Rattus norvegicus: one gene and its partners. The protein of the gene in region 2 purifies or fractionates together with the protein of the main gene of each other region. This does not show direct contact. Links are inferred from orthologs where the notes say so. Each region holds a gene or a part of one and is shown on either strand. Other genes may lie near its edges.

Evidence for each region. The genes of interacting proteins can lie anywhere in the genome.
Region 1: the proteins of Cd151 (region 2) and Itga6 purify together in Homo sapiens (co-immunoprecipitation; 3 studies listed by BioGRID and IntAct, with this or other methods). This does not show direct contact. The link is inferred for Rattus norvegicus from reciprocal best matches to the Homo sapiens genes CD151 and ITGA6.
Region 3: the proteins of Cd151 (region 2) and Itga3 purify together in Homo sapiens (co-immunoprecipitation; 4 studies listed by BioGRID and IntAct, with this or other methods). This does not show direct contact. The link is inferred for Rattus norvegicus from reciprocal best matches to the Homo sapiens genes CD151 and ITGA3.

The regions. Positions count from the first base shown.
Region 1 is NC_086021.1:77,077,203-77,080,702, reverse strand, and holds part of Itga6 (integrin alpha-6 precursor), read right to left. Parts: intron 2,166-3,500; coding exon 2,005-2,165; intron 1,868-2,004; coding exon 1,724-1,867; intron 1-1,723. UniProt on the Homo sapiens protein: Integrin alpha-6/beta-1 (ITGA6:ITGB1) is a receptor for laminin on platelets. Integrin alpha-6/beta-1 (ITGA6:ITGB1) is present in oocytes and is involved in sperm-egg fusion.
Region 2 is NC_086019.1:205,992,952-205,997,099, reverse strand, and holds the start of Cd151 (CD151 antigen), read right to left. Parts: upstream 2,801-4,148; 5' UTR 2,755-2,800; intron 2,426-2,754; exon of another isoform or gene 2,157-2,425; intron 1,787-2,156; 5' UTR 1,657-1,786; intron 969-1,656; 5' UTR 962-968; coding exon 878-961; intron 759-877; coding exon 567-758; intron 278-566; coding exon 203-277; intron 100-202; coding exon 1-99. Other genes in the region: Cracr2b (EF-hand calcium-binding domain-containing protein 4A), read right to left, coding at 3,800-3,977. UniProt on the Homo sapiens protein: Structural component of specialized membrane microdomains known as tetraspanin-enriched microdomains (TERMs), which act as platforms for receptor clustering and signaling.
Region 3 is NC_086028.1:80,494,902-80,498,401, forward strand, and holds part of Itga3 (integrin alpha-3), read right to left. Parts: intron 3,341-3,500; coding exon 3,238-3,340; intron 3,077-3,237; coding exon 2,894-3,076; intron 2,714-2,893; coding exon 2,591-2,713; intron 1,932-2,590; coding exon 1,818-1,931; intron 627-1,817; coding exon 528-626; intron 1-527.

The DNA of each region.
Region 1 (3,500 bases), on a different chromosome or scaffold from region 2:
AAGCCTCGGGGAATCTGAGTTCCAAACCCACCTCTGACACCTGCTGGGCTGTGTGGCTTTAGACACTTTTCATTCTGGCTTGATCAGATCATGGTCTCACGTAGGGGAGCCCTTGAAGGGGAGCTGTTTCAGTATCACGGCCCTATGCTCCCTGAAGTGAGCTATATATTTTAACTCATTTAACCGTCACAACATTCTACAGAGACCCTATCCTTCTGAGCCCATTGTACAGATGAGGAAAACCTAATTAGGAACAAGTTCTCCTCTTCCTGTTATGTTTAACTTGGCTCAGGAGCTGGAATTGTGCACAAGAACTAGTAACACAGTAACAGTGTTTCACATCACAAGACACGAAGGGTAGAAAAACATGACTAATCCTAACTGGTGACCAAACAACCAACAAAGGGTAGCGTTAGATTGAAAGCAGTGAGTTCTTTTTCAAAGCTAAGGGTAAGGAACTGTACCGGGGCCTCAGTTACCATTTCAGCAGTAGCTGGATTTTTGTTGTTGTTGTTGTTGTTTCGGTTTGGTTTTGGTTTTTATGAAGACAGTGTGTCAGGTAGCCTAGGCAGGCCTTAAAGTTGCTATATAGTCAAAGATGGCCCTGAATTTCTGGTCCTCCTGTCTCTACCTCCCAAGTGTGGGCATTACAGGCATGGACCACCTTGCCATTTTTATGTGGTGCTGGGGATGAAGTCAAGGCTTTGTGCCAGGCAAGCACTCTACCCACTCAGCCACATCTGCATTCACCAACTGGATCTTGACAGCTAGCACGTGGTGTCACAGCAAACGTGCTAAGCATTTGGGAGGCCCTGGGTATAATTCCCAGCACCAAGACAGTGACCAAGATGATGCTAGTAATAGCCAGGCTGTGGAGGCACACGCCTTTAATCCCAGTACTCAGGAGGAGGAAGAGGAAGGTGGGTCTGAGTTCGAGGCCAGCCTGGTCTACAGAGCAAGTTCTAGGACAGCCAGGGCTACACAGAGAAATCCTGTCTCAAAACAAAATAAAAAGATGATGACGACGATGACAACAACAACAGCAGTAATAACAACAACAATGCCGGATCAAGATGTCATACTTCACTAGGCTCATTTCTACTCTGTCCTAGCGCACACATCCCATATCATACGACATATCCAGCAGGCCACGGAATACACGTTCCTATAATGACTAAGCTGCATTAGACACTGAAGTATTTCGTTGTGATTGGGTTTTTTTGCTTTGCTAAGTTTTACTCTATTCCTTAATTTTAATAATAGACACGTATCATACTGTGTTGTTCTCAGTAGAATAAAGTATGTCAACTACAGGAGAATGAAGTTTGGTTAATTATAGTCTCGGTAAGTACCAGGGACCAAAAACAATGAAGAAAACAATGAAGAAAAAGAAATCTGATCCCCAAAACCCATCTTAGGTTTTTAATCTTCACTGCCAATTTGAGAGACAACTTCTCAGAGGCCAATTATGTGCATAGAAATAAGAAGAAGTGTTTTTGTTGATTATTTTTTCTTAAGGTCTCACCTTGCACCCTGGTTGGTCTGAAATTTGCTGTGTAAATCACACTGACCTTGACCTCACAGAGATCCTCCAGCCTCTGCCTCCGAGTGCTGGGATTAAAAGCACACACACGGCCACCACACCTGGCCATACATACCTGCCACAGGAAGTGGCCTGCAAAACAAACCCAACACTGGCAAAAGAGAAAGCCAAGAAGCTCACATCTGTCTGCACTGTTTTGGCTTCATTTGAATTCAAGATGGGAAGAACTTCTGGAAGTGAATTCACCCGCCGTCGAGAGCTGGGCTCCTGGATCTCCACAGAAGCCGTGATGGGGATGGGGCGCAGCTTGTCTCTGATGTTTTCCTGCAAAGGGCGCAGTGACACAGTCAGTGTGCTCAAATGCGAACGGACCTCCAAAACGATGTCAGCGCAGAGATGAAGGTTCAGAAACCAAGCGTCCCCCAGGACACCCGAGCCCTGGTCGGGTGCCACACACTCACCTGCAGCCAGAGCGTCTCCTCCATGCATGCCCGCTGCTTCTGCCTGTTCAGGGTCAGCTCCTGAGTATACTTTGGCTCAGAACCTTGGTTTCGAAACTGAACTCTTGACGACAACCCTGACTTTCTTCTTTCTTTTTCAGCTTCAAGAATACCCAAAATTGCTAGGTTGGGATGAACAAAATGGTGTTAGCTTAAAGGGCATCTACGCACCCCCTGAGCAACAGATAACGAGTTCTTTTACAGCGCTCCGCCCCATAACCTTTGCTTCTCAGAATTTGGGGACCTTTGAGGTGTTTAATCCAACTTGTTTCTTCCCAACGCTGTTACTATTTTAAAGTTAAATTCTCACTGGACCACCTGGGGGAGCTCAAGAACAAGCTAGAACCTTCTTCTGCTGAAGCTAGGAACCAATCACTTTCTGGCTGAATTTCAGGAACTCAAAGAGTACTAAAGATAACTGGAAATAGCCAATGTTCCTGCCTCAGGACTCTTTCAGCCTGTCCTCCACGACCTTAGGTCTTTGCTATTTGAAAAGGTGTCTGAGAAAGCAGGCTCCTACAAGCTGAGCTGGTTGGTATTTGCATTTTACAGAGACACCTGGGAACAAAGGGAAGGACTGCCATGAAATCACAGCTAGCTTCAGCTACAGTGTGAGTCTGTCTGGAAAAACAGATAGAAAGGTGGATAGATAGATAGATGAATAGAGAGATAGACAGACAGAGAGACAGACAATAGACGGATGATAGATGACAGACAGATGATAGATAGACAGATGGACAGACAGACAAATTGGACTGACATTTCTTTCAGTAGCTGGAAGCCAGGTGTTTAGCATAACCCAGCTTTCATACGTAAGTCTGTAGCCTGCAGCAGAGGTGGCTGGCTGCTCAGTGCCTCGGATTATGCAGCTTGGAGGCAGGCCAGATCTGGCCGTCAGAAGCTCACTTCTGGACTCTGGAATGCATTCCTCACTGGGTCACTGGATGAGGCTACTAATTATGCTTCTCATGGGCCAATACTTCAATCACTTACATTCATTAAGCACTTGCTAAAACCATCAGAGGAGAGAAAGCGCAGGAGCGTGCACAGGAGCGTGCGCAGGAGCGTGCACAGGAGCGTGCACAGGAGGTCAGGCACAGCAAACAGCCTCCAGGAAAAACTCTGTTCCAGAAAATGGAGACAGCAAGCATTCTACCATTCATGCTAGGGTGAAAGAGATCTTGTTGAGGGTTTGTTGCTTGTTTGAGACAGATTTCATGTAGCCCTGGTTGCCCGGAACCATTTCTCCTTCCTGCACATCCTGGGTGCTAGAGTTACAGGCATGCACCATCGCACCTGGTTTTATACAGTGCTGGAGTCGAACCGATGCTAGAGTTACAACAGGACTCTGTGCACACTAGGCAAGCACTCTACTAAGGGAGCTACCTACACTCCTGCCCATGAGGCTGTGTGTGAATGTCCTCTTCGTAAGCATCGGAACGGAAGTTCAAAACCAT
Region 2 (4,148 bases):
CTGCAGCTTGTCTACAGCGTTGGTCACACCCTCATGGCCTGACTGGTGGTATCTCTTGATCATGGTGTCCTTCAGATTCTCCTTGAGCTCGGTGTTGAGCTGTGGGTAGGATTAAACTCGTAAGGGCAAAGCTGGTCAAGACCTCCAGTGGGACTGACAGCCTCGTTCCGGACATTACCCTGTGGCCTGTTCAGGCCCTTACCTGCTGATAGTAGACATAGGCCAGGATGCCAGCAATGATCTCCAGAAGGAAGATGATGAGGAGCAGGATGAAGTACTAGGGAACAGGGACCCAGTAAGTGGGGGGTTCCTAGTGCCAAAGCACCACAAAGCCAAGCCCCCAACCCAAGAGGCCAAGCAAGAGGAATGTGGATAGGAATTACACTCTGGGCTGCCTAGCTCCTTGATACTTCTCTGGAAGCTGGTGTCTGCCCCAGTGAGTTCAACAGGGACAGCCTACAGGAATACACTCAACAAGTCAGGCCCCCAGAACCAGTACCAGAGACCCCTGAGAAATCCATGTCAGGCATCCCTAGCCCCACCAGGTGCCACCAGGCCCTGCTGACCAAGCGTAACAGGTTCCGTCGCTCCTTGAAAGTGGCACAGCAGCCCAGGACTCCAGTCACCATGACAACAACACCAGCCACCACTAAGATGTAGGCTGTTGCTAGGTAGGTGCTTGAAGCCAGCAGACTAATGTAGTCACTCTTGAGGGCCAGTGTCCAAATGCCCACTGCCATGACGGCCAGGCCAGCCAGCTGCGGAAAGTATATAGTGGTCACCACATGAGGCCTGGGTCTGGAAGCTGGGACTGAGCTCCTAGGCCAGGCCTCCAACATGGGGAATAGGGATGCAGGGAGAATGTAGCTCTTCTCACCCAGAAGCAGCAGTTGTAGGTGAACAGCAGATACTTGAGGCAGACTGTGCCACATGTTGCCTTCTTCTCGTTGAATTCCCCCATCCTGGGCCTGGAGAAATGGGGAGGAGGTCAGATGGCCTGAAGCACCAGGCCTCCAACTAAGAAGAAAGCTATACACCGATGAAGACAGAGAGGATGCAGCAGTCCCCAGATGCTTGCAGAGTTTGGAGTCCGGCCAGCTATCTGCCTTAAGAGGAGCCTTCCCAGGAACCATATGTGAGTCACTTCCTGGACTAACCCCTCACGGCCAGACACACATGTTGGGTTATCATGGAGGACCCCCAAAACATCTGCTGACTCACTCCTGCTGGCAACTAGGGGAAGCTCCAGCAGGCCTTCAGGGTACATTCCTGTGGATAGACACCCTCAAGCATTTCCTGAGCCCCACGATCAGGCTGATAGGTACTTACAACTCATACCCATCCCCAGAGATGGCAGAGAAGCAGCGAGTTCAGGCCACCCTCAGGTACACTGTGAGGACTCTGAGCCTCTTTACCGCCAGCCGACTTTACCACCAGCCAGGGCAGAGACAATAAAATGCCGGTAGGTGGAGCCTGTGCAATCTGCTCCCCAGTTCCACAGATGTGCATGTGCCGTCCTCCAGGGGTCCCCTAGACACACTAGCATCTGAGGACAGTGTACAAACCTCAGCTGAGCCAGGCCAGGCTCCCAGACAGGCACCTAAACAGAACTTTTAGCCGGCTACCTTAAGGATCTGCCCAAGCCCCAGCACTCACCTCTGGAAGTCAGGACCAGCAGGTACAGGTCAAAGTCACTGATCTGCCCGCCCTTCACCTGGCAGGTGGGATCTTGCCACTCCTATGGTGTCTGAAGCAGTAATCAGAATGATTCTCAGAGCCACCAGATCTGCAAGGAAGCATAACAGCCAAGCCTACTGTTCTCTACTGGACGGCAGTAGGCCAGAGAACATTGCTGGCCTGCCTGATCTAGGGAGGAACAAATGCCTTCTCCAGGTGCCCCGCCCTCCAGGCTCATCCATCACATTCCCTCCCCACCAAACAGCAGCGACTGCAAACTGAAGGAGGATGCATCAACCGTCCACTTCTGGAAGTGGGAGAGATTTCAGACCTCCAATCGGAGATGGGACCCAAAAATACATGCTGCCTCACTGGATGCGGGCAATGACATAAACAGAAGCTTGGCTAGCCACAATGCAAACCCCGGGGCTAGGCTCTAAAAGCCCAGAACCTATGGGGAGCTGGTTCTCTCGACATACCCAGCAACCTAAGCCAAGGCACAATCAGCAGACTGAATGTAAATTCCCTGAGAAAGTGTCCGCGTGGGAGCCGGGACCAGCCAGAAATAGCTCCTGCGGCCAGGACACTACCTCCCTACACTCAGCTCCAGTACCTCCCCTGAGCCCTCCATGGCACCGGGCACCCGCCCCACCGACGGGATGAAATACTGAAGTCGGCTGGGCGAGGAATCCCCGCGTCACAGAGATGAAGTCACCACCGTCCCTGCCGCCCGCCTCCGCCCCGTGCCAGTGGGCGGACCTGCGGTCTCAGGGGAGGGAACCGGTGTCCAGGGACAATGAATAGGGTGATCAGACTTTAACTTTCCGGGTTTCTCCACGAAAGAGACCGCCAGGCCTGCCCAAGAACCACAGAGGCTCTCTTCCTTACCCCTCCCCCTTCCCGCCGCGCTTCTAGCTGCCCTGCCCCGGCGTCGATCTTCCGGAAAGGAGCCTGCAGCCCTGTCCTACGGGCTCTGCCTCCTGGGTGGCCCCGAGGCCAGCCACGGAGACTAGGAACACCAGTAAGCAAGGAACTCAGGACACTGCTCCCCATACCCTTCGGCTTCGGAGCACTCACCAACCACGCTTTGAAATACCAGCCCCGGCAGCCACTGTAGGAGCGCTCATTCGGAGTACAGAGAATGCTCGGCCCGGGGCCTGCGAGGACACGCCCCGCGCGCGACCCCGCCCCAGGCGCAGCCCCGCCCACGGCCGGCTGGGGCAGGCAAGTCCTAACTGGTTTGGTGCTAAGGCGCAAGGGAGAGACCTGGAGATCTGCCCTGTGGGTCTGTAAAGTTAGCTTGAGGGCACCCGTTCTTATCAAAACCTCGGACTCATCCAGAAATAGAGGAGCTAGGCTGGAGAAAGAACCCAGGTGGGGAGCGAAGAGGTGGGGAAGGTGGCACTAGAGGCCCAGAACTGAGGTCAAGACCAATTTCTTCTCCAGTCTAAGCCGGGAGAACAACTCTGAAGCTGCAGGTTCTAGCGGTTGAGGAAATGCCAGAGGGGGAGCTCCAGATCGAGTGTGGAGGGTTCTGAAAGGTCCCACAGAGACATAAGGGCCCTGCGAGAGGAACCCAGTGTGGATTGCATATGGTCTGTCTAGGAACTGTGCCAGAAGGATGATGGTCTGGACCAGAGCGCTAGTTGACCTCACGGAAGTGAGGGGCGGGACCTTCCATTTGAGGACCAGCACCCGGGAGTTTACACCTGTTGAAACCTGAGTCCTTGGATCTTCAGCTGTGAGGGATGGTGAGGGCTTGGTGAACCACAGAACATACACAAGCACAAGGGGACCCACAGGGGCAGGAACGACTGGGTAATGTGCACCTGTAAATCTCTCCGTGTTACCCAGTGCACGAACCACAAATGCACTGTAGCTCCCAAACACACAAAAACCAAGGAATGCACAGTATACAGTGGCCTTTATTGGTCCTTTAGACAAAGATTAAGGAAGACAGGATAAAGACTGAAGACCTGACCACTCTGAGGGTTAGTTCCTTCAGGCATGGGATGCTTTCTGGGTAGAGCTACATACTTAGCAAGCAACCGCCACCCAAGACCAATCCCCTCCTAAGAATAGTCCTCTGGATAAGGAAGTGAGTCATTTGGTGGCTGGCTGGTCATCGGGCACTAGGAAGATGGCCAGAGCCTCGTCTGGGGGGCCGAGCCCAGCCACAACAACAGCAGCAGTAGATAGGTCCCGGCTTGTGGGCGATAGCTAGAGCCTTCCTGTGGCTACTGCCCAGCAGCTTAGTCTCACAGGCATCTCTCTCATCTCGAAGCCTCAGATTCAGCTCCCTAGAAAAGAGAGGTAAGAGACCGAGGAGACTAAGATCTAGAGGGAAAAGTGTGTGGGGGAGATGCTTTCCCTGAGTCCAGAGGACTAGAGAGCCTGCAGCCTGAAGGCTACAGGGCAGACGTAAGGACTTCCAGCAACATGGGTAGGAGTCAATAATATTTGGAAACTTG
Region 3 (3,500 bases), on a different chromosome or scaffold from region 2:
TTTGTCTACGTTGGCTGGCCGGCCAGCCCCCAGCATCCCCTGCCTTCAGTGACCTATAGCTGAAGTTATGTGCATGGGCCAACCTGCCCAGCTCTTTTTTTTTTTTAATTATTTATTTCATGTATGTGCATACACTGTCACTCTCTCCAGACACACCAGAAGACCCCATTACAGATGGTTGTGAGCCATCATGTGGTTGCTGGGAATTGAACTCAGGCCCTCTAGAAGAGCAGTCAGTGCTCTTAACCACTGAGCCGTCTCTCCAGCCCAGTGCCCAGCTTTTACCTGGGTGCTTCAGCGCTAAGGATCCAAATTCAGGTTTTCACACTAGTTGAGCAAGGCCTTTGCCTGCTGAGACATCTCCCCAGCCCCTCACTTTTAGTTTTGAGGCAGAATATCAGTAAGTTGCCCAGGTTGGCCTTGAATTCACCGTAGCCTAAGCAGACCTGGAACTTAACGATTCTCCCAGGAAACTAAGGTAGCAGGCCTCCAGTATCAGGACCAGCATCATTTTAACACCTACTCACCCATGTGGTCTTATTCTCCATGTTGATGGTAGGGATACTGGTTCTCAGGAACAGGGTAGCCCAGCCATCTACTCGGACTCTGTCAAAGTCTTTGTAGTCCTACCAAGAAGATAGAGGGGTCAGAACTAGCAGCTGACGTCTCTCTTGGTCTCCCCCTTGACTCTACACTCTCTACCCTCTTCAGTGCCCCACCAGGCGGCACTCTCAAAGGATCTGTCATCCAGCCTCTCTCACACACAAATGTATCCCATTCATCCCTCTGCACTGCGCTCTGTGCTGATGCCAGACTAGCAGACACAGGGAAGGGCACAGTTTAGGTCAGGCTCGTGGGCTAAATCTACTCTGCACCTGTTTCTGGTACATAGCCATGCCCCTTCATTTACCTAAGGTGGCTTTTGTAGTCCAGCGTTGGAGCCTGAGCAGATATGACAGGAACCAATCTTATAGGCCAGAAAGATTGATAGTCTAGTCTCAAGAAAAGGTTAGACTACATACCAAGAAAGGGCGGGTATAAGAATAACCATAATAGGGGCTGGAGAGATGGCTCAGTGGTTAAGAGCACTGGCTGCTCTTCCAGAGGTCCTGAGTTCAAATCCCAGCAACCACATGGTGGTTCACAACCATCCATAAAGGGATTTGATGTTCTCTTCTGGTGTGTCTGAAGACAGTGACAGTGTACTTATATATAACAAATAAATAAATCTTTTTTAAAAAAATTAAAAAAGGACTGGGGCTTTAGCTCAGTGGTAGAGCACTTGCCTAGGAAGCACAAGGCCCTGAGTTTGGTCCTCAGCTCCAGGGGAAAAAAAAAAGAGTACCCATAATCTATCCAAGCAGGACAGGTGACCCAGATAACTTCCAGGAAAGACATGTCTTATTGAGAGGAGAGGACTCCAGCTTCTGAAGTTAGCTAGGATCTCAATGATTAGAAGTGAAGGTTGCTGGAGACCTTGATAGCTTAATAGGGAAGTCACACATAGAGATAGAAAAAAAAAAAAAGCTGGCATTACAGTGTGGGGGGGGGGAGCAAGGGCAAAGGCACAGGGATAGAATGTAAAGGACACATAGAAGGTCATTTTGGAATTATTACACATTCACACACGTGACATGCAACCACAACACTGATGTGGAAATATTACACATTCACATCCAGACACGCAACTGTGCAGAACATGATACTGTTTTATATACATGCACATTTGCACTCACACACACCCTGCCTTCAATCCCTCCCTGCCACTCTCCTCACCCAAGTGAATAGCAATGAAGGCCTCCAAACCCAGCACTGACCTCAATGAAGGTGCTGTTCCACACCCGTGCCTTCACGGTCACATTGGTAATGTTGGAGGCATCTGGAAGGGGGCACTCCAGCCACACACAGCGGGCGCGGCCATTGGAACAGGTCTGAGGTGGACAGGAGGACAGACAGGAGACAGCCTGAGTCTCTAGACATGACACTGGCTCCTTACCTTCTCCCTCCTAGACTTCGTCCCAGCCTGGGGTTCATTGTTTTGCTCATGGGTATTCCTCTACGTTAGGAACACGCATTCAAGCTGCATTCTCGGGCCAAACTCCTCTGATTCAGGGAACACATGAAGCATAGGCCCTGCTCAGACTGGCAAGGAGCAGCCTCAGAAACCTCTCCCAAGCCAAGCACGCTGAGTGTCGTCTGCTGTCTTGGGATACCCCTTCAACCTCTCCAGCCAGTAAGGCCTCCCCCGGGTCCCCATATGTTCTCCTCAACTTCTTCCTGCACTCTGCCCTAAACATCCTCTAGCCCCTCCCCACACCAAATGTCCAAGCTACACCCAACAGGGTGTGAGGCCTTGGAAGTGCCAGCATTCTTCTTTGGGACCACTGTGTTGGATGTGCCCTAGGGTTGGTGGTTAAGTTTGTTTTTTTGTCAGGAGACTCTTGAGGCCCAGATGTACAGTACCTCTCTCTCTAGTGTCTCTGTGTCTCTGTGTGAGTGGTCACTATCACTCTTGCCTGTGGGCCCCTGATGTCCATGTGCCTTGTGATGGCCTGTGCAGTCCCTCCCCACCTTTGCCCTGGCCACTCACCAACACGGTCTCAGACTTGGCTTTTTTGGCAGCAGCTAGCGTGACAGGTGGAGGACCCTGGTCTCCCCCTGGATCTAGTTGTCTCCGCCGGCGCTGTGGGGACAGTGGCTTGACTCCAGGGTCCTAGAGAGGGCAGAGATATGTTGGGAAGTCAGAGAGAGAGAATAGTTGATGGGAGATAGGGAAGGGACAGGGAATAGTCAGGTTCCTAAAGACCACCAAGGTGGCCAGGGAAGACACTGGCCTTTCTGCCTCCGCCATGCAAATGAGACATGCATGGACCATCCCTGATGATGGACTTACAGAGAGAGTAAGGTTGAGAGGGTTGACAAGGTTTCCATGTGGCTGGCAGGGCCAGGACCCATTGCTGTGGATGGTGATCTCCGTAGGGTACAGCAGCCACTTGCCATTGGTAACTTCATACGGCCACTCCAGACCTAGAACCAGTGTGCCCAAGGCTGCCAGCCCGTCTCCCACTGGGCTCACCTGTGGGCACACATGACCTGAGTGTCATGGTTACCATCCTTTGGAAAACCACCCACAGCTCAACAACCCTAAAACCTTCCATGTTTGAACCCCAGATACGGGACAGTCTCCCCACGGTCTTTCAGAAGAGTCGACAGCCAGGGCCCCAGAGGCGCCCTTACCTGGAATTCATATTTCAGGGGGCTTCCCACATCCTTCACAGTCTTCATGGCAGCCTCGCCCATCACTGTCCCACTAAAGAAGCTCTGCAGTCGATGATTCATCCTGGGTAAGAAGACACCCCAGGTCAAAGCAGACAGGAGGCCAGAGCCCTGCCGGAGGGGACTGCAGTGTATTACCCACAGTTCCCCTGGCACATAAACCCCAGTTCTACCGTGCACCAGCTATGCAGGCTCGCACAGTCTACCCATCCTTCCTGAGCCTC